Linked DNA regions of Lonchura striata. The protein of the gene in region 2 purifies or fractionates together with the protein of the main gene of each other region. This does not show direct contact. Links are inferred from orthologs where the notes say so. Each region holds a gene or a part of one and is shown on either strand. Other genes may lie near its edges.

The links.
Region 1: the proteins of SUPT16H (region 2) and OTUD5 purify together in Homo sapiens (affinity purification with mass spectrometry; 3 studies listed by BioGRID, with this or other methods). This does not show direct contact. The link is inferred for Lonchura striata from reciprocal best matches to the Homo sapiens genes SUPT16H and OTUD5.
Region 3: the proteins of SUPT16H (region 2) and TOP1 fractionate together in Homo sapiens (co-fractionation; 3 studies listed by BioGRID and IntAct, with this or other methods). This does not show direct contact. The link is inferred for Lonchura striata from reciprocal best matches to the Homo sapiens genes SUPT16H and TOP1.

What each region holds. Positions count from the first base shown.
Region 1 is NC_134638.1:1,035,953-1,043,244, reverse strand, and holds the start of OTUD5 (OTU domain-containing protein 5), read right to left. Parts: upstream 3,014-7,292; 5' UTR 2,890-3,013; coding exon 2,866-2,889; intron 1,709-2,865; coding exon 1,615-1,708; intron 894-1,614; coding exon 829-893; intron 1-828. Other genes in the region: EBP (3-beta-hydroxysteroid-Delta(8),Delta(7)-isomerase), read right to left, coding at 5,363-5,571, 7,107-7,237. UniProt on the Homo sapiens protein: Deubiquitinating enzyme that functions as a negative regulator of the innate immune system. Has peptidase activity towards 'Lys-48'- and 'Lys-63'-linked polyubiquitin chains. Can also cleave 'Lys-11'-linked ubiquitin chains (in vitro).
Region 2 is NC_134641.1:1,210,526-1,217,614, forward strand, and holds the start of SUPT16H (FACT complex subunit SPT16), read right to left. Parts: upstream 3,010-7,089; 5' UTR 2,960-3,009; coding exon 2,894-2,959; intron 1,327-2,893; coding exon 1,234-1,326; intron 1-1,233. Other genes in the region: chromodomain-helicase-DNA-binding protein 8, read right to left, coding at 6,843-7,034. UniProt on the Homo sapiens protein: Component of the FACT complex, a general chromatin factor that acts to reorganize nucleosomes. The FACT complex is involved in multiple processes that require DNA as a template such as mRNA elongation, DNA replication and DNA repair.
Region 3 is NC_134619.1:9,817,472-9,825,465, forward strand, and holds the start of TOP1 (DNA topoisomerase 1), read right to left. Parts: upstream 3,051-7,994; 5' UTR 2,919-3,050; coding exon 2,886-2,918; intron 2,390-2,885; coding exon 2,365-2,389; intron 1-2,364. UniProt on the Homo sapiens protein: Releases the supercoiling and torsional tension of DNA introduced during the DNA replication and transcription by transiently cleaving and rejoining one strand of the DNA duplex.

The DNA.
Region 1 (7,292 bases), on a different chromosome or scaffold from region 2:
GGATGGTGGGGACATTGGGGATGGTGGGGACACGGGGACAGGCTGGGGACGGTGGGGACATGGGGACAGTGGGGACATTGGGGATGGTGGGGACATTGGGGACATTGGGGACATGGGGACAGTGGGGACAGGCTGGGGACACGGACACGGGGGGGACATTGGGGACACAGGACAGCTGGGGACACTGGGAACACAGGGATGTTGGGGACATTGTGGACACGGGGACAGGCTGGAGACATTAGGGACAGGCTGGGGACACAGGACAGGCTGGGGACAGTGGGGACAGGCTGAAGACATTGGGGACATTGGGGACAGCTGGGGACATGGGGACACTGGGGACAGGCTGGGGACAGTGGGGACATGGGGACACTGGGGACACTGGGGACAGGCTGGGGACAGTGGGGACATGGGGACACTGGGGACACTGGGGACACTGGGGACAGGCTGGGGACACTGGGGACACTGGGGACAGGCTGGGGACAGTGGGGACACAGACACGAGGGGGACATTGGGGACACAGGGACAGGCTGGGGACACGGGGACGTTGGGGACAGTGGAGACACGGACATTTGGGACAGGCTGAGGAGGGACACACTGGGACAGCCCTGGGGACACTGGGGGAGGGAACAGCAGCCTGCTCCCCCCAGGGCTCTGAGCACCCTCCCAGTCCATCCCAGTTCCTCCCAGTCCATCCCAATTCCCTCCCAGTGCCATCCAGTGCCCACCACTGCCCTCCCCAGTCCCTCCCAGTTCCATCCCAGTTTTCCCCAGTCGATCCCAGTCCCCTCCCAGTCCATCCCAGTCCATCCCAGTTCCCCAGTTCCTCACCAGGTAGTCCATGCAGTGCTTCCTCACCACCTCGTGCATGTCCTGGTCTCCGTACACCTGATCGGCTGGGGGGACACACAGGTGACATTGGGGGGACACAGGTGACATTGGGGGGGATGGACAGGTGACATTGGGGGGGACGGACAGGTGACATTGGGGGGACACAGAGGTGACATTGGGGGGACACAGGTGACATTGGGGGGGATGGGCAGGGGGCATTGGGGGGACATGCAGGTGACATTGGGGGGGGACGGGCAGGTGACATTGGGGGGGGGACGGGCAGGTGACATTGGGGGGACATGCAGATGACAGTTGGGGGTCTGTGGGGGATTTTTGGGGGGGATTTTTGGGGGATTTTTGAGGGGATTTTTGAGGGGATTTTTGAGGGGATTTTTGGGGGGGATTTTTGGGGGGGGTCTGTGGGGGATTTTTGAGGGGATTTTTGGGGGGATTTTTGGGGGGGATTTTTTGGAGGGATTTTTGGGGGGATTTTTGGGGGGATTTTTGGGGGGGATTTTTGGGGGGTCTGTGGGGGATTTTTGGGGAGATTTTTGGGGGGATTTTTGGGGGGATTTTTGGGGGTGTCTGTGGGGGATTTTTGGGGGGATTTTTGGGGGGATTTTTGGGGGGATTTTTGGGGGGATTTTTGGGGGGGTCTGTGGGGGATTTTTTGGGGGGATTTTTGGGGGGGATTTTTTGGAGGGATTTTTGGGGGGATTTTTGGGGGGGTCTGTGGGGGATTTTTGGGGGGATTTTTGGGGGATTCGGGATGGTTTCGGGGCTCACCCACGGCCCGGAACAGGCAGGCCCCATCCTCCTTCATGCGCTTGATGATGAAGCCTTTCTTCTCCCGCAGCGCCTTCTCGAACCGGTGCTCCTGCTGGAGACACAGCCGGGCTCGGGGGGGTCCCGGGGGGCCCTCGGGACATTCGGGGGTCCCTCGGGGCATTTGGGGGGTCCCTGGGGGTCCTTCGGGTCATTGGGGGGGGCACAGGATGAGGGGAGCTGAGGGAGCCACAGGGGATGAGGGGTGGGGTCACAATGGGGGGAAAAAGGTGGGGGGGTCAGGGAGGTTCTTAAGGATGGGGGGGGGTCCTGGGGGGGTTTAGAGGTCCCTTGGGCCATTTGGGGGGTCCCTGGGGGTCCCCTGGGTCATTGGGGGGGGTACGAGTTGGGGGGAGCTGAGGGAGCCACAGGGGATGAGGGGTGGGGGCCAAAAACGGGGGGTTCAGGGGGGTTCTTGGGGATGGGGGGGGTCCTTTAAGGATTTGGGGGGTCCCCCGGGTTATTTGGGGGGGGTATGAGAGGGGGAAACTGAGGCAGCCACAGGGGATGAGGGGTGGGGGTCCAATGGGGGGGTCCCGGGGGTGTCACCGAGAGGGGACACTGGGAATGGGGGGGGTGGGGGGGAAAACTTTGGGGGACAGGGAAGGGTCCCAAAGCGGGGGATGGGGCACCCAAAGCGGGGACAATTTGGGGACAATTTGGGGACAATTTGGGAACAAACGGCAGCAAAATGGGGACGGCGACAACCCCGCATGGGGGGGGGCGGCAACATCGGGGACACCGAACCCCGGCAGGACCCCCGGTGTCCTCCCGGTGTCCCCCCGACATCCCCTGATGTCACCCAGTGTCCCCCAGTCCTCCCCAGTGTCCCCCCAGTGTCCCTCGCTGTCCCCCCGGTATCTCCCGGTGTCCCCCCCCGGCCCTCCCCCGCGTCCCGGTGTCCCCCCGGTGTCCCCTCGCTACTCCCGGTATCCCCAGATGCCCCCGCGCTGTCCCCGCCGGTGCTCCCCGGTGTCTCCCGGTGTCTCCCGGTGCTCCCTCGTGTCCCCCCGGTATCCCCGGTCCCCTCCCCTGTAGCCCGGTCCCTCCCCGGTGTCCCCGGATGTCCCCGCGCTGTCCCCTCGCTAATCCCGGTGTCTCCCCGCTGTCCCCCCAGTCCTCCCCGCTGTCCCCCCGGTATCTCCCGCTGTTCCCCCGGTATCTCCCGCTGTCCCCCCGCTGTCCCCGCTGTCCCCGCCGCTCTCCCCGCACCTGCTCGGCCGTGGCCGGGTCCATCTCCACCCTGCCGGCCTCGTACTCGTCCTCGCTGTTGTAGCCGCCGCCCGCCTCGTCGGGCCCGGGGCTGCCGCAGCCGGGGCCCAGCCCCAGGCCGAGCGCGATGCCGCCGGGGCCCGGTCCCGCGGGGCCGCCGCCGCTGGGCCCGGCCCCGCCGCGCCGCCGCCGCTTGCTGTGCCCGGGGCCGCCGCCGCCGCCGCCGCAGCCGCCGGGCCCGCGGGGCTCGGGCAGCCCCAGCGCCGCCGCCTCCAGCCCCAGCAGCGCCGCGGGGCCGTCGGCCGAGCCGGGCCCGCCGCTACCGGCGCCGCCGGGCCCCGCGGGCGGGGGGGACCCGGCGGCCGCGGCCCAGCCCCGCAGCGGCGGCGGCGGCGAGGCGCGAGGCCGCGGCCCCCCCACGCCGCCGGGGCCGCCGGCTTCGCCGACGCCTCCGGGGCCTCGCTCGGGCCCCGCGTCCGCTCCGCGCTCGGGCCCCGCGTCCGGGCCGGAGTCGCCGTCGCCGTCGGGAGCCGGTACCGGCTTCTTCTTGGGGAGGATCGTCATGGCGGGGCGCGCATGGGGCGGGGGCGGGGGGCGGGCCGGGGGCGCGCGGCGCGGCGCGGGGCGCGGCGGGGCCGGGGCGCGGCGGCGGCGGCGGCGGCGGCGGGGCCGGGGCCGCCCCGGCGCTGAGGGGCCGCGGGCGCTGCGGCCGCCGGGGCCGTGTCAACATCAACAGCCGCCACCTCCGACCCCGCGCGCGCTTCCGCCTCGCCCGCGGCGCGCCGCGCCATTGGCTGCCGCGGGAGAAGGAGCGCTCCGATTGGTCCGCAGCCGGGAGGAAGTCCCGCCTTTCTTCTCCTCCGCCTCCGTGAGGGGAGGCGGGATGGGCGTTGCCATGGGGATGGAAGGGGAGAGCGCGGATTGGGCGAGGCGGGGAGGGACGGGCGGTGATTGGTTGGTTTTGGGGGAGGGAGGGGAGGGGGGAGGGAGGTGATTGGTTGGTGGAGGTGCCGGTTGAGCGGAGAGGGGAGGGGTGGATCGGTGTAAACGTGAGCGCTGATTGGGTGGCGGCACGTCAATCATCGCTGGGCGGGAGCAGCGAGGAGACGCCGAGCGTTGATTGGCGCGGGCTTAAACCCCGCCCACGTCGCCACCTTATTGGCTACAGCGAACGACCTAATTTCCTATTGGCTCAGGCGCGGCAGGGGCGGAGCCCAGCTGGGATCCCGCCCCTTTGAGGACCCCACTCATCTGTCAATCACCCACAAGCCCCGCCCCTTCCCCGCCCTCCCACGTGGTCCAACCCCCCAGGACCCCCCCCAGGAACCCCAAAAACTCACCAGAAACCCCCAAAACTAACCAGGACCCCCCAAAACCCCCCAAGACCCCCCCAGGACCCCCCAGAAACCGCCCAGGACCCCCCAAAAAACCCCCAGGAACCCCAAAAACTCACCAGAAACCCCCAAAACTCACCAGGACCACCCAAAACCCCCCCAGGACTCCCCAAAAACTCCTCAGTACTACCCCAAATCCATCAAGAGACCCCAAAAACCCTCCAGGTACCCCAAAAATGTGCCAGAACCCCCCCAAAGCCCCCCAAAACCCATCAGAACCCCCCAAAAAACCTCCAAAAGCAGAGCCCGAGCTCCATTTCCAGCTCCTTTATTCAAACCCATCCCTGCCCCCCAGGAACGAGGGACATTCCCACGGAAGACCCCCAAAAACGAGGTGGGGATGCCCCAAATTTAGGTGGGGACCCCGAGAACAAAGCTGAGACCCCCAAAAACGAGGGGGAGGTCCCCGTGGGGAACACGGGGGGCTCCGACCGCTCTCCCTGAGCTTTTTTGGGGGGGTCCCAAAATTCATCTCCAGGACCCTCCCGGTGCTGAACCTTCCCACGGGGGGGTTCCCCGATGCTGAGGGGGGGTCCCTCAGTCTGGGGGGGTTCCCTCACCCCTGGGTGGGGGTCTCAGTGGCCTTATGGTGGGGTCCCTCACCCCATGGGGGTCCCTCACCCCTGGGTGGGGGTCTCTCACCCCTGGGTGGGGGTCTCAGTGGCCTTGTGGCGGGGCGGGTCATGGGGGGTCCCTCACCCCTGGGTGGGGGTCTCTCACCCCTGGGTGGGGGTCTCAGTGGGCCTTTGTGGCGGGGCCGGTCATGGGGAGGTCCCTCACCCCATGGGGGGGTCCCTCACCCCTGAGTGGGGGTCTCAGTGGCCTTGTGGCAGGGCCTGTTGTGGGGGGGTCCCTCACCCCATGGGGGGTCCCTCACCCCTGGGTGGGGGTCCCTCACCCCTGGGTGGGGGTCTCAGTGGCCTTATGGTGGGGTCCCTCACCCCATGGGGGTCCCTCACCCCTGGGTGGGGGTCTCAGTGGGCCTTGTGGCGGGGTCCCTCACCCCTGGGTGGGGGTCCCTCACCCCTGGGTGGGGGTCTCAGTGGCCTTGTGGCGGGGTCCCTCACCCCTGGGTGGGGGTCCCTCACCCCTGGGTGGGGGTCTCAGTGGGCCTTGTGGCGGGGCCGGTCGTGGCCGCGCTGGGCCCGGGCCAGCTGCCGCCCGGCGTCCACGAGCAGCAGGCCGGGCACCAGCAGCCAGAGCCCGTTGAGCCCCACGAAGTAGCCCCAGAAGTAGAGGGGCCGCGGGTCACTGTGCGCCCAGCCCGCCCGCGCCTCCGTGGCGAAGTACAGCACGTCCCCGTAGAGCTGGCCTGCGGCGGGGACAGGCAGGGCATGGGGACAGGGACAGGCAGGGCATGGGGACAGGGACAGGGACAGGCAGGACATGGGGATGGGGACAGGGACAGGCAGGACATGGGGACAGAGACAGGGACAGGCAGGACATGGGGACAGGGACAGGCAGGACATGGGGACAGGGACAGGGACAGGCAGGGCATGGGGATGGGGACAGGGACAGAGGGACAGGGACAGGCAGGGCATGGGGACAGGGACAGTCAGGGCATGGGGACAGGCAGGGCATGGGGACAGGCAGGGCAGGGGGACAGGCAGGGCAGGGGGACAGGGACAGGCAGGGCATGGGGACAGGGACAGGCAGGACATGGGGACAGGGACAGGGACAGGCAGGGCATGGGGACAGAGACAGGCAGGGCATGGGGACAGGGACAGGGACAGGCAGGGCATGGGGACAGGGACAGCCAGGGCATGGGGACAGGCAGGGCATGGGGACAGGCAGGGCAGGGGGACAGGGACAGGGACAGGCAGGGCATGGGGACAGGGACAGGGACAGGCAGGGCATGGGGATGGGGACAGGGACAGGCAGGGCATGGGGATGGGGACAGGGACAGAGGGACAGGGACAGGCAGGGCATGGGGACAGGGACAGGCAGGGCACGGGGACAGGGACAGGCAGGGCATGGGGACTGTCAGGGCATGGGGACAGTCAGGGGGAACACGGGACAGGGACTGGAGATGGAGACAGCCTGGGGACGGGGACAGCCAGGGGATGGGGACAGCTTGAGGGGGACAGGAACAGGGAACGTCAAGGGGGGACAGCCTGAGGAGGACAGGGACAGGAGACAGGGGACAGGGACAGCCTGAGGGGGACAGGAACAGGGAACAGGGACAGTCTGAGGGGGACAGGGACAGGAGACAGGGGACAGGGACACTCTGAGGGGGACAGGGAAAGGAGACAGCAGACAGGGACAGTCTGAGGGGGACAGGGACAGCCTGGGGGGGACAGGGACAGGAGACAGTCTGAGGAGGACAGGGACAGTCACGGGGGGACAGGAGACAGGGGACAGCCTGGGGGGACAGGGACAGCCTGGGGGGGACAGGGACAGGAGACAGGGGACAGCCTGGGGGAACAGGGACAGCCTGAGGGGGACAGGGACAGGAGACAGGGGACAGGGACAGCCTGGCGGGACAGGGACAGCCTGGGGGGACAGGGACAGGAGACAGGGGACAGGGACAGCCTGGCGGGACAGGGACAGCCTGGGGGGGACAGGGACAGGAGACAGGGGACAGTCTGGGGGAACAGGGACAGTCTGAGTGGGACAGGGACAGCCTGAGGGGGACAGGGACAGGAGACAGGGGACAGGGGACAGTCTGAGGGGGACAGGGACAGCCTGGGGGGACAGGGACAGCCTGAGGGGGACAGGGGACAGTCTGAGGGGGACAGGGACAGCCTGGGGGGACAGGGACAGCCTGAGGGGGACAGGGACAGGAGACAGGGACAGCCTGGGGGGACAGGGACAGTCTGGGGGGACAGGGACGTGGCCGCGCCGTACCCAGGGACACGATGAGCTGCAGCACGAAGCGCGCCGGGTGCTGCCGCAGCAGCGCCAGGAAGGTGAGGAAGCTGAGGGGACCCCAGGCCCAGGCTGTCACCGTCTCCATGGCCACCGTGAAGTCATCGCTCCTGCGGGGACACCCCGGGGTGGCGGGTCACCCGGGGACACCGGGGACGGGCCACC
Region 2 (7,089 bases):
CCAAAAAGAGACAAAGAAACCCCAAAAGAGACCAAAAAAACCCAAAAAGAAGAAAAGAAACCCCAAAATGGACCAGGAAAACCCCAAAAGGAACAAAAAAACCTCAAAATGGATCAAGGACACCCCAAAATGGACAAAAAAAACCAAAAAGGGACAAAGAAACCCAAAAATGGATCATGAAAACCCCAAAAAGGAACAAAAAACCCAAAATGGAACCAAGAAACCCCAAAAAGGAACAAAAAAACCCAAAAAGGAACAAAAAAAAACCAAAAAGGAACAAAAAACCCCAAAAAGGAACCAAGAAACCCCAAAATTAACAAAAATCCCCAAAATTTATGAGGAAAACCCCGAAAGGAACCAGACAAAAATGATGGGAAAGTCCCCAAAAGCAGGAGAGAAACCCCAAAAATGGGGGAATTTACCCCAAAATGGGGAAATTTGCCCCAAAATGGGGGATTTACCCCAAAAATAGGAAATCTAGCTAAAACTGAGAGAATTCAGCCAAAAATGGGGAAATTTATCCTAAAATGGGGGAATTTACCCCAAAAATGGGGGATTTACCCCAAAATGGGGGGGATTTATCCCAAAAATGGAGGATTTTACCCCAAAAATGGGGGATTTACTCCAAAAATGGGGGATTTATCCCAAAATTGGGGGATTTATCCCAAAATTGGGGGGATTTACCTCAAAAATGGGGGATTTACTTTAAAATTGGGAGATTTACCCAAAAAATGGGGGATTTATCCCAAAAAATGAGAAAATTCATCCAAAATTGAGAAAATTTTCCCAAAAATGAAGGGATGCCCCTAAAAATGATAAAATTCAGCCCAAACTGGGAGAATTTGCCCAAAAATGAGAAAATGTACCCAAAAATGAAACCAAAAGGGATTTTGGGGGTTTTCTCAGGAATTTCGGGGTTTTCCTCATGATTTTGGTTTTTTTCCCAGAATTTCGGGATTTTTCACACAGATTTTGGGGTTTTCCTCACGATTTTGTTTTTTTCCCCAAGATTTCAGGATTTTTAAATTTTTCACCAACATTTTTGGAGTTTTCCTCACGAACTTCAAGTTTTTCCTCATGATTTTGTTTTTTTCCCAGGATTTTGGGATTTTACACTGAGATTTTTGGGGTTTTTCTCAGGAATTTCGGGCTTTTCCTCAGGATTTGGGTTTTTTTCCCAGAATTCAGGATTTTCCCCCCAGATTTTAGTTTATTTTCTGTTTTTTTGCCCACCTGCAGCGCCGTGGACTTGGCGTAGACGATCTCCTCGTCCACGCCCACGGCCACCACGATGGCGTCGACGCCGCCGAACTCATCCTCGCCTTTCTGTGGGGCAGGAGACCCAAAATCAGCCAAATTCACCCCAAAATCACCCCTGCAGCAGCCCCAAATTCACCCCAAAATATCCCTGCAACAACCCCGAATTTACCCCAAATTTACCCCAAAATTTCCCCAACACTGACACCGCCAAACTCATCTTTGCCTTTCTGGGGGCAGGCGACCCAAAATCACCCAAATTCACCCCAAAAATTCCCAATTGGCACCCCCAAATTCACCCAAAAAATTCCCCTGAAGCAGCCCCAAATTCACCCCAAAAATTCCTCTGCAGAAACCCCAAATTTACCCCAAAATATCCTCCATCAGCAACCCCAAATTCACCCAATTTCACCCCAAAAAATCCCCTGCAGGAACCCTGAATCCACCCAAAAAAATCCCCTACAGGAGCTCCAAATTCACCCAATTTCACCCCAAAAAATCCCCTACACCAGCCCCAAATTCACCCCCAAAAATCCCCTGCAGCAGCCCCAAATTCCACAAAATTCACCCCAAATTCACTCCAAACCCTCAACATTCCCTCAGCCCCCCCAGATTTCCCTAAACCCCCCAAATTTACCTCAAATGCCCCAAATTCACCCCAAATCCCCCGAATTCACCTCAACCCCTCCAAATTCACCCCAAAACCCCCAAATTCACCTCAAACTGCCAAAAATTTAAACCAAATTCACCCCAAAACCCCCAAACCCCCTCAGGCCCCCCAAATTTACCCCAAACCTACAAAATCCCCCTCAAATTTACCTCAAACTCCCTAAATTTACCCCAAACCCCCCAAATTCACCCCAAACCCCCTAAATTCCCCTCAAACCCCCCAAATCCCACAAATTCATCCCAAATCCCCCTCAAGCCCCCCAAATTTACCCCAAACCACCCAAATCCCCCAAATTTACCCCAAACCCCCCAAATTTACCCCAAACCCCCCAAGTTTCCCTCAAACCCCCTCAAATCTCCCAAATTTCCCTCAAATCCCCCAAATTTCCCTCAACCCCCCCTCAAACCCCCCAAATTTACCCCAAACCCCCCAAATCCACCCCAAATCCCCCTCAAATCCCCCAAATTTCCCTCAAATCCCCCAAATTTCCCTCAAATCCCCCAAATTCCCCTCAAACCCCCTGAAATCCCCCAAATTCCCCTCAAATCCCCCTCAAAGCCCCCAAATTCACCTCAAATCCCCCAAATTTCCCTCAACCCCCCCAAATTTACCCCAAACCCCCCAAATCCCCCTGAAATCCCCCAAGTTTCCCTCAACCCCCCCTCAAACTCCCCAAATTTACCCCCAAACCCCCTCAAACGCCCCAAATTTACCCCAAACCCCCCAAATCCACCCCAAATCCCCCCCAAACCCCCCAAGTTCCCCCCAAACCCCCTCAAACCGCCCAAATCCCCCTGAAATCCCCCAAGTTCCCCTCAAACCCCCCAAATTTCTCTCAAAGCCCCTGAAATCCCCCAAGTTCCCCTCAAACCCCCCCAAATTCCCCTCAAACCGCCCAAATCCCCCTGAAATCCCCCAAGTTCCCCCCAACCCCCCCCCAGCCCCCTCCCCCCGCCCCTCCCCCACCTGCCAGCTGGCGTAGAGCCGCCGCAGCCGCCGCGCGAAGGCCTCGCGGTCCAGGCTCAGCGCCATCAGCGGCCCGGCCGCGGCCCCGCCGGAGCCGGGCGGGGAACCGCCGGGGCGGGGCGGGACCTTCCTCCGCTCGGCCGCCTCCTCCTCCTCCTCCTCCTCCTCCTCCTCCTCCGCCGCCGCCGCTGCCGCTGCCGCCCGTGCCGCGCCGCGGCGCCCGCCGGAAGCGCCGCCTGAGGCGACTTCCGCTTCCGGTGCGCGCGCGAAGGGCGGGAGGCGGAGGAGGAGACGGTGAGGGAGGGGAAAAGAGCGGCCGGGGAGGGGAAAGGGGGAGTTTGGATGAGAAAAAGGAGGAGGAAAATGGGGGGAAAGGGGAAAAAACACACAAAAAAACAAACAAAAAAACAAACAAATGCGGGTGAAATCGGTGAGGGGGGGGAAAAGGAACGGGGGGTCACGTGACGGCGGAGAGGCGGGAAAAGGGGAGCGCGGGGCGCCGGCGTCACGTGACCGCCCCCCCCTCGCGCCTGCGGAGGGGAAAAGGCGGGAAAAGGGGCGGGGCCAGAGGGGTCACGTGATGGGGAGGGAGAAATGGAGGAGGAGAAATGGAGGAGAGGGAGAGAAATGGAGAGGGAGAGAAATGGAGAGGGAGAGAAATGGGGAGGGAGAGAGAGATGGGGAGGGAGAGAGAGATGGGGAGGGAGAGAGAGATGGGGAGGGAGAGGAGCGGAAAGGAAATGGGGAGAGGGAGATGGAGACAGAAATGGAGAGGGAGAGGAAAGGGAGGGAGAAATGGAGAGGGAGAGAGGGAGATGGAGGAGGAGAGAGTGAGGGAGAGAAATGGAGAGGGAGATGGGGAGGGAGATGGAGGGGAAAGGAAATGAGGGAGATGGAGACAGAGAGAAATGGAGAGGGAGAGAGGGAGATGGAGGAGGAGAGAGTGAGGGAGAGAAATGGAGAGGGAGATGGGGAGGGAGATGGAGGGGAAAGGAAATGAGGGAGATGGAGACAGAGAGAGAAATGGAGAGGGAGAGGAAATGGAGAGGGAGGGAGGGGAGGGGAAAGGAAATGGAGAGAGGGAGATGGAGAGGGAGGAGGAGAGAGGGAGAGGGAGATGGAGAGAGGAAAATGGAGGGGGAGATGGAGGAGGAGGGAGATGGAGAGGGAGAGAAAGGAGGGAAATGGAGATGGGAAGAGGGAGATGGAGACAGGGAGAGATGGAAATGGGAGATGGAGGAGGAGGAGAGGGAGAGAAATGGAGAGGGAGATGGAGAAGGAAATAGGGAGAGGGAGGGAGATGGAGGGGGAGAGGACAGAGAGCACCAAAACGAGGCAAAAATACAGAAAAAACAGAAAAAAATACCCAAAGGAAAAAAAGAAAAAAAAAAACCCAAAAAAGAAACAAAAGAAAAACAAAAAACACCAAATAAAAAATAACCAAACAAAATGGAAGAAAAAAGCCCGAGAAAAGTTTTTAAGAAACCCCAAGGAAGTAAAAAAAATGAAAAAAAAAAAAAACTATGAAAATTTAAAAGGATGAGAAAAAATGTAAAAAGCCTTAAGAAATGTGGAAAGATGAGAAAAAACAAAAAGGCCTGAAAAAAATTAACAAAAAACACCCCCCAAAAAAAACCCCAGCAAACAAAAAAAACACCTTTAAAAAAACCCAAAATAACAAAAACAAAAAAAGGAAAAAAAGCAAAACCCCTCCAAAAAATTAAAAAAGAAAACAAAAAAAAAAAACCACCAAAAAATTCTTTAAAAACTCCGAAAAACACCAAAAAATACCCACAAAAAAAAATTTAAAAAACCCCCAAAAAACGTAAAAAACTGAAAAAACGCCAAAAAAAAAGAAAAAAAAACCCTCTAAAAAAATTTACAAAAAAACCCAAAAAAACCCCAGCAAACAAACAAAAAAAACCTTGAACCCCCTCTCCAAAAAAAAACCTCACAAAAAACTGGGACAAAAAAAACCAACAAAAAAAACTCTGAAAAATTTTATAAAAAACCCCAAAACCCCCAAAAAACCCAAAAAAATAAACCGGAAAAAAAAAACTAAAAACCAAAGCAAGAAAAAAACAAAGCAGGAAAATCCTGAGGGGGAGACGTGAGAGCGGGGATCGTTAATTACCAATTAATTCATTAATTAATTGGGGTGGCTATCGGGGGGCGGGACAAACGAAGGGAGGCCAGGGAGGAGATTAATTAATGAGGAGGTTAATGAGAAGGGTAATGAGGAGCTTAATTAATGAGGAGGTTAATGAGAAGGGTAATGAGGAGGTTAATAAGGAGGTTAATTAATGAGGAGGTTAATAAAGAGGTTAATTAATGAGGAGGGTAATGAGGAGGTTAAAGAATGAGGAGGTTAATTAGGGGGGTAATGAGGAGGGTAATTAATGAGGAGGTTAATTAATGAGGAGAGTAATAAGGAGGGAAATGAGGAAGTTAATGAAGTTAATTAATGATGAGGGTAATTAGGAGGTTAATGGGGAGATTAATGAGAAACGTAATGAGGTTAATGAGGAGGTTAATTAATGAGGGTAATGAGGAGGTTAATTAGGAGGTTAATTAATGAGGAGGGTAATGAGGAGGTTCATTAACGAGGAGGGTAATGAGTCGGTTCATTAATGAGGAGGGTAATGAGGAGGTTAATTAATGAGGAGGGTAATGAGATAGTTAATTAAGAGGTTAATTAACGAGGAGGGTAATGAGAAGGGTAATGAGGTGGTTAATGAGGAGGGTAATTAACAAGGAGGGTAATGAGGAGGTGAATTAACGAGGAGGTTAATTAACAAGGAGGGTAATGAGGAGGTGAATTAACGAGGAGGTTAATTAACAAGGAGGGTAGTGAGGAGGTGAATTAATGAAGAGGTTAATGAGGAGGGTAATTAATGAGGAGGGTAATTAACGAGGGTAATGAGGAGGGTAATTAATGAGGGTAATTAACAAGGAGGGTAATGAGGAGGTTAATGAGGTTAATTAATGACGAGGTTAATGAGGAGGGTAATTAATGAGGGTAATTAACAAGGAGGGTAATGAGGAGGTGAATTAACGAGGAGGTGAATTAATGAAGAGGTTAATGAGGAGGGTAATTAATGAGGAGGTTAATTAACGAGGAGGTTAATGAGGAGGGTAATTAACGAGGAGGGTAATTAACGAGGAGGGTAATGAGGAGGGTAATTAATGAGGAGGGTAATTAACAAGGAGGGTAATGAGGAGGTGAATTAACGAGGAGGTGAATTAATGAAGAGGTTAATGAGGAGGGTAATTAACGAGGAGGGTAATTAACGAGGAGGGTAATGAGGAGGTGAATTAATGAAGAGGTTAATGAGGAGGGTAATTAATGAGGAGGGTAATTAACGAGGAGGGTAATGAGGAGGGTAATTAATGAGGAGGGTAATTAACGAGGAGGGTAATGAGGAGGTTAATGAGGTTAATTAATGACGAGGTTAATGAGGAGGGTAATTAATGAGGAGGGTAATTAACAAGGAGGGTAATGAGGAGGTGAATTAACGAGGAGGGTAATTAACGAGGAGGTTAATGAGGAGGGTAATTAACGAGGAGGGTAATTAACGAGGAGGGTAATGAGGAGGGTAATTAATGAGGAGGGTAATTAGGAGGGTAATTAACGAGGAGAGTAATTAACAAGGAGGGTAATGAGGAGGGTAATTAACGAGGAGGTTAATTAACAAGGAGGGTAATGAGGAGGGTAATTAACGAGGAGGCTAATTAACAAGGAGGTTAATAAGGAGGCTCATTAATGACGAGGTTACCGCCGCCGTTACCTAACGAGCAGTCCAGCTAATTACCGTTTAATTAGGCACCAGAGCACGCCCCGCTGCGTTTCCAACCTTTTATTAAAAAACAACCCCCGAAGCCCCGCCCCCGGCCCCGCCCCACGACACAGACACTTTACATATTTATAAATATTCATCAGGGGGCGGGGCTACTCCGAGTCCGAGGCGGGCGCCAGCATGGGGTCGGCCAGCAGGGGGCAGCAAGCACTTCCGGTCTGCCCCGCCGCCTCTTCCGGCGCCGGCCGGAAGTGAGGGGGCGTGGCCAGCGCCGCCGGGGCCACGCCCCCCATGAGCGCCGCCATCTTGGAGAGGTCCAGGGCTGGGGGCGGGGCGGGCAGGCACTGGGGGGAAAGTAATTAGAGCCGGGAGTTAATGAGCTGGCCGTGGAAAATAGTT
Region 3 (7,994 bases), on a different chromosome or scaffold from region 2:
TTATCGCTGCCTGACAATAATCAAAGTACAAACCAATTCTAAATATCTTGGGGGGGGGGGTGGGGGGAACCAGCACATTTGGGATTCCTACTACCCACTCCTAATCTTTGCCATTAAATAAGATGAAAATAAGAAAATAAGAGCAAGAGCCTCAGGTCTCTGCCTGAAGGAGAACCTCTGTTCTCACATCCGTGCGTGACGATTCCTGATGCACCAGTGCAAAGAGCTCCTGTGCAGAGGAAACAAGGCTCAGAGCAAGCAGAGGTGACAGATTTTCAGGGAGATCTGGGGTGGTCACAAGGTCAAAGAGTCCAGTGTCTATTCAGCATTATTCCCACAGCAAGACTAACAGGGTTACACGTACCTTCCAGTGCTGAAAAGGGTTTTGGGGCCTCTGATTAATGACAATGATGTTACATGACTGCCACAAATAATTACAATAGGAGGGAAAGGGTGCTGATGCCTACACTGGTATGGATTTGTTGGGTGCACTTGATTTACCAGGAATTCCGTTTTTTCATCAAGGTGTCTTACTTTGAATTTCTGTATTGAATTCCTTCAACACATGGTAGAAATAAAAACCACAGGAGTTTCAAGAGCTCTATGACTAAAACTCTTAGAAGAATAAAACAGCACATGGTCACAATAGAGGAGAAAAATCCCTCTGAAGGGTTCACTGGAAGATGGAGTCAAAAGGTGAAATATACATCGTTTCCTCTATGTACAACAGAACTAAATAACTAAAGCTTACCAAGGAGTATTTTTCCCTAAATCAAGATGATCTTTAGATGAAGCAAGTATTTTCCAGCACAAGAAGGCTACAAGCATTCCTATATATGCTTATATTTAAATTGCTTCAAGAGTTACACCCGTACATCTTGGGAAATCCACTGCACCCCTTTTTTCCTGATAAGAATTATTCATAGAGCCCAGCTATAAATTCAGAATGGAAATAGAGAGTTCAAAACATGCATATTTGACACTGTCTGCTCCCTGCTGCACACACACAATCACATTCCAATGAACTGACAGAAGAAAAGGTGCTCGCAAGCGTAGATCTGTAAATATTTACATGCAGTAGCCTACAAGGCAACCAGGCACGTGGACATCATCCAGAAAAGCATTCTAAAAATTAGTGTAACTATAAGTCAAGCAGATATTTTCAACCAACATTTTTGTCCTCTACCATCTCAGCAGTCAGGGGACAGCTCAGAGCTCCTCACATATCCCAAATAGTGACAGTAAAACACGCACACACACAAAGGTTGGTTGTATACCCTCAACTCCCCTTCACCCTACTTAAGCCCTTCAATTTGACAACTATCAAGTGAGGCAGGCTTGCAATCAGCTTGCTTCCTATAAAAATGAATAAATTATCAGAAAAAATTAGCAGTCATCAGGCTGATTAGAAAATACAATATTGTATGTATATATACATATATGAACATAAATATACATATAGACATATATTTATATATATTAATATATAAATATATACATATACAAAAAATTATATGTAAGCACATATATATATAAATATAAATATATATATATATTAGACTACAGGACGCTTGTAAATGTTTCTGAACAAAATGAAGTTAGCTTGCAAAGTCCCTGAAGTGATGCTGTCTACCTTTCTGGAATTGTCTACACTATGGTCTGTTAGGTTCTTTAAAGTAGGTCTTTATTTTAATTTTAAAAAACCCATCTAACAAGGTAAAGTCACATCACTTAAATAGCCAAGAAAAAAACATAAGACTGATCTTAAAATGGATGCAGCAGCTTCTTTTAAAGAGCAACATGTTGCAATCACCTTTCATTTTAGGGGAAGGAAGGGATTCCCTCAAAGGAACAGAGACGGGGAGCAGTGGGGGGAGGGAGCCTGCGATTAAAAAAAAAAAAAAAAAAAAAAAAAGGCGACTTGGGATTTTTAATTTTTGGTTTTTTTAAACTAAAAACTTTGCTTTCCCCTCGGTTACAAGGGGCTGGTGGCGGGGATGGCGGCCCGGTGCCTCTGCAGAGGCGGCTCGGCGGCAGCTCGGGGAGGAGGAGAAGGAGAGAAAAGCCACAGAGAGAGAGAGAGAGAAAAAGAAAATGGCGCAGAGACTAAGTCCCGACCGTCGACAAGGCGACTTTCCAGGGAGGAATCGGGGCCCAAAGGCGACCCCGGCAGAGCCGCTGCGCTCGGATCGGGGCCCTGCGGTGCCCCCACTCGGGGCGGCGGGGGTCGGGGGCGGCCGATCCCGGCGGGAAAGGGGCGCTTTTGGCAGCTCGATGGGAACAATGGGGCCGGTGAGCGCGGAGCCGGGACTTAGTCTCTGGGACGCCATGTCTGTGCGAGGGGCGCGCCGGGGCCGCACTCACCGTTCGCTCGGAAATCCGCCTCGATCTGCGGGGAGAGCACACAGGGACACACCGTCAGCACGCCCGGCTCCGCGGCGCTCCGGGGGACCCCCGCCCCCGCCCTCACCCTCATTTTTAGGGGAATTAAATACGAAAGGAGAAAAGCCCGGCGCGATGCGGAAGGTGATGGGGGAACCGGTGAAGCGCCTCCCCGGCCCCCGCGCAGCTCATGAGCGGACCCCTCCCGACCCCCCAAAGGGCAGCGAGCCGGGGAAGCGTGGCAGCCGCCCCCTCCCCTTCTCAGCCCAGCCCGGGGGTCACACGCGGGTCCCCGCTCCCGCCGCCCCCCATCCCACCGCGGGGGGACAGCTGGGCTGACAGGGCTCTGCCCAGACTTATGGGGGCGGCCGCAGGGCACGGTCCCCCCGCTGGGGTTACGGGGGGTGGCGAGGCGGCCAGCCCAGGGCCGGCACGGGGAGATGCGAGCACCGCGGCGGGGGTCCCCCGGGAGCGCGCCCCGCGGGCGGCCACGGGGCGCTCACCTGGGAATCGTTGTGCAGCTGGTCCCCGCTCATGCCGGAGGCGCGGGCGGCCGGGCGGAGCGGGAGGAGCGGCGGGCAGAGGAGCGCCGGGCGGAGCGGGACGCGGGGAGCGCAGCGCGGTTGTGTAACAGACTAAGTCCCGCTTTCGGCGCTCTGCGCATGCGCGGCGCCTTTTAAACCGGCGGGGAGCGGCCTGGCGGGCAGGGGGCGGGAAGCGGCCGCGCGCTGATTTGCATGCGAGCCACGCCCCCAGAGACGGCATGATTTGCATGCAGGCCACGCCCCGCCGGCGTGACCGCTCCGACCCGCTGCCCCTCCACCATGCGCTACGCCGGCTCGCTGCTTTACATATCCGGTCCCGCCCTTTCCTCTCCCTCCTCCAATGGCGCGGCAAAACCGGGCGCTCATTTACATGTTAAGCCCCGCCCCCTCCCCGCGGCCGCCCGGCCCGGTGCATTGTGTAAGAACTCGTGCCGCTCCGTGCGCACAGCGCGCATGCGCTACCTCTCCGCCCCGCCGGTTATTTGCATACAAGCCCCGCCCCCGCGCAGGCCCCGCCCCCAGGGCCGCATGGCGGGCGGGCCGCTCTGAGGGGCGGCGCTGCCGCTGCTGCCCGCGGTAACCCCTCCGTGACAGCCCCCGCGGCTGTGCGGCCCTCGGGGCTTCTCCCGGAGTCCCGCCGCGCCAGACCCCCGCAGGCACCAGCTCATGAGCAGTCAGAGCATGTCCTAGTGAGGGGAGGCGGGCGGGTGCGCGCACCTGTCCCGCAGACCCCTCGTTATCAGGCTGTGTTATCTGTGCGGCTGACCCTCGCTGCCGGTCTCTGCCCGCCACCGCGCCAGGCTGGAGTGCGGAGGCCGCAGGAACCACGGGGAGATGCTGGGGGGGAAGCACATCAGGCAGGTTTGGGCTCACTTGACTCCTTTTAGTCAAGGACAGCACTGGTGCATTGCATACAAGAGCATTAAAAAGGGATCAGCCCGCAAGGTTTTTCTTCTGGCATAGCAGAGTCTTAAATTTTTTCTCCTGAAAAAAAAAAAAAAAAAAAGGAAGGTAAAAGGGGGCCAAAGCTTTATTTTCTTTTAGGTAATGTGATAGTGAAGCACGTGCCTGCTTAGAAAAACACCCCTCCTTCCTCAGCCCAAACCTGAAGACATTTATTTCTGTTCCGCAGCAGCGCTTATAAACGGGTTTTCTTGTCGGTGTACTAAATGGCAGGTTTAGTATGCATGGCTGGTACGTGTCTCACAGGACTGCCTCCAGTCTTCTTGGAGCTTCCATCCTCTGCTGCAACACAGACTGTACCTTTCCTCAGCTTCTTTACACAACCAGAGCTTTGATTTGACACTAAAATAACCTGGCGCTGCCAGGCTATCTGAAGAGATACATCAAAATGTAAGCAGTGACAGCAGCCACCTATTTGCACTGCATATTTATATCCTGCAAAGGGAAAACTCTGTCACTTTCTTACCGTCTTCAGAAGAGGATCTAAGGACTTCCTTTTTTTACCGAGTGCAGGCAAATATTTCTGGAGCTGTTTATTATGCAAACTGCTTTAGTCACTGTTAGATTTTTAAATATAAACATAATGAAAGAGCTGTTTCAGACATCAGGAAGAGGTGTGTGCCCCTGGTTCACAAGAATGAGGTGAAAGCAGGCTTTGCCCTGGGTTTGAGCCCCTCCTTGCTGCCATCCAGGGCTGCAGGGCTGTGCCTTTTGAGACAGCCTGGGAGCGGGCTGGCACCTCCTGCTTCCAACATTAGAAATTCCTAAAAGCTCTTCCTTTGAAGCAGCAATTTCACTTTCAAACCTCACATCTTTGTCTCCCCAAGAAGCCCTTGCTCAGGTGGCTGTGCCTGCCACAAGAAAGGGACCCTCCACCATCCCCGGCACGCTGCAGCTGCAGCCAGCCCTGTGCAGGGGAAGGCAGCCCGGCCCCTTCCCGCAGCTGCCACCTTCGCAGGCGTTTGCAAGCACGTCTGGTCGCAAAGCAGAGCCCCCGAAACCGGCACACGAGAGGTTTAGCGCTGTGCTGCCGGCAGGAGCCTGCTGACAGCCGCGTGGGAGAGCTCGGAAGGAGCAGGGAGCTTCCCAGTTTGGTATCTCAGGTCCTGACTGCCGCGGTAGCAGTGCCAGAGCCATTAGTGACGAGCAAAACCTTGTGCTCGAACGTCAAACACCTCTCACTCCACGGAGGGAACCTGCAGCCGAGGCAGCAGCTTCGAGCTGTCTCCCAGGAGTCGCTTCCCATCTGCTGCACGGAGCCTCCTTCTCTGCAGCTATTCGAAACCCACCTGAACACAAACCTGTGCGACCTGCTGGAGGAGGCTGGGTGTTCCCAGAGGCGCCTCCCAAACGCAGCCACTCCGTGCGATCCTTTTTGTCCCCAGTCTTCCACAGGGTTATCCTGGAGCCTGCAGGGAGTCCCTGCTCTGCTGTCAGAAGCCAAGAGGCAGGGAAATACACAGCTTGTTCAAAGCACATTAAACCATAACACCTGTGTGGCCCCATCTGTTGCAACGAGCTATATGATAAAAAAAACCTTATGATCTCCAGGCCTATAACCTGCAGTACCACCGTCCAGGAGGCTGAACTTCCCTCACTCCCTTCCACGCTGGCATCCCTTGGGACACGGGAGGCTCTCCCACGAGAGGAAGGCTCGTATAGGACACACCACTCTACAACCCTGTGAAAGTGATCGTGGCCCCAAACCTGCCAGAGAAGCATTTGGACAACGCTCTTAAGCCCAGGGGAATTCTTGGAGTTGTCCTAAGTGGGAGATGGACTCAGTGATCCTTGTGCGTCCCTTCCAGCTCGGGAGATTCCGAGTCTAAGCAGCCCTTTCCACGGTGGAGGCTGGCAATGAAGGGGTTAACGTGTTTGGACCCGCTTCCCTGGCGAGGCTGTGCACACCCCATCAAGATAAATGGGGGAAGTTCACACCTCGGAGTGCTGTGATCTCTCTCCAGGGTTCCCTGGGACCAGTACATCACCATCGGGTTAATGTAGCCTAGGTGATTGCCTGCAAAAAGAAACAGCTGGAAACTATGTGTTTAAATTAAATAATAAATCACCCGGGATACAAATCCAGTAGAAAAGCCTTCAGTTCTTTTTCCTGGTGAACGGTGAGATTTGATTTATCTGGTGCACTGGGCCTCACACTGTGCTCAGGGTGCATATTTTGGGAGAGGGAGGTGGGTGCTGTTTTCCTGGCCAGCTTTGCAGTCCTGTATCAGGATGGGATCCTACACCGTGCTCCAGCCTGAGTCCACACTCTTCTGCACAGACCAACACAAGGCAAGAAACCTCGACAGCCAAACCCCTAAACCCTCCACAGCCCTCTTTCCAAGCCTTGCTCCTAGCCTCAGGTGAAGCCATCTTCATTGTGTTCCTTCAGTTGATTCTCCTTTATATTTAACTTGATTATATGCTACACTTCAAGTTTGAAAGTGAAACAAAACTGGTAATTAAATACGCTCATATCTTGGTATTTCTGATTACAATATCAGAAGTTCAGGCCTTAAGAGCACAACACTGCCAACTCATTCAATTTTATTAGCAGTTCCACAGATCCAAGTTCACTTGTTTAGTTTTCCTTTATATAATTTTGTAAAAATCTCTACTTTTGTCAGAGGCAGAGGCCAGTTTCTAGTGTTTATGTTTTAGGAGAAAAAAAAAAAAAGCAACAAAAGCCCTCCATCTGAATATGAAACAAACGCATGTTGTTTGTGAAGAGGTAACAAAGAACCAAAATGCATTTACAAAATTTACACATTTAAACCCCAAAATCTAATTTTTAAAGGCCTGTAGTGATGTCTTTAGTCTCAGCTCATTTGTAAGAGCTATGGTTTGGATATTTCTATCACTACTGTACATTTTTTTCACAGCCAGAGACCTGCCTGATGTGCAGGATTCCCAACTGGCGTCATCCTCTAAACCTGCTGTCTCTAAAACCAAGTGACACTGGTACAAAATAAGAACAGTCAGATACACGACTCCCCACTCATTTTTCATTAGCATGACCTGCTCAAAACACTCATACTTATTATGTACTGTCGGATGCATTGAAACTAAATTATCTCAGTGCTCTGAAAGAAATGCACTTTAATAAACTGCAGCAATTATTCACAGTTTTATATGTAAGGCAAGGGAGCAAATTAAGCAGAACCAGCAGATAGGATTGTAAGTGGGAGCTTTCAAAGGTCAGTCTTAATTACAGTTTCACCTGGGATGGGAGAAGCTTGCAGAAGTCCTGGGAAATTACCAGTCAGAAAGCAATAGCTGGTATCACTTGAACTTCATTATGTCCTCATTTGCCTTGGTTAAGGGAAACAGCAGTGGTAGAGAGGCTGGTGTAATGGAAAGGAGAACATTCGGATCACAATCCAAGGAGCACGTTCCTGGATTTTCAGCTAACATTCCCAAGCACATGCCGTGATGGTTTGTGGCTGCTGCACGGCCAGTGTGCAACACCAAATGCAGTCAGGCACATACATCCCTCTGTGCCTCATTGCCTTCTTGCTCCTAGCAAATAAAAGCGACTCTCCTGCTCGAGAAAACAATGAGAAGCCCATAAACAACACCTCGCTTCAGCGTGGCCTCCTCATTTTGCCGTGCAGAGCAGTCAGTGCCCGGTATTTGGAGATTGCCCCACCGCGGGGCTCCCGGCAGCAAAGCGTGGGTGCATTGGGAGCCCCGGAGCACGTGAGAAAAGCCACCCTTGCATAACTTGGCAGGCGTGGGAGGCAATAGGATGGCTCTTTTAAAGCGTTCACATGTTGCAAATATAGCTGAGATAAGGAGCCATTTCATATAATCTGTGCCCCTGGAATGAATTTCTCATGAATTTAGGCTAGCTGGTTTCACTTTTATCTCCTGTAGTTGATTTCAGTGGCTGTTTCTCACACTATGACATAATTCTGTGATGCAGATTCCTGACATTGCAAGGAAAAGTGTCCAAGCATTTCTATTCACATCAGAACTGCTATTAAAAATACCCAGAGTTAAATTTGGTACCCACAGTTAATAAATGGCTCTCCTTCACAGTACAATGAGATAATATTTCCCCTGTCTACAGTTTTCCATCCAAAGGAGAGAAGAATCCCCATT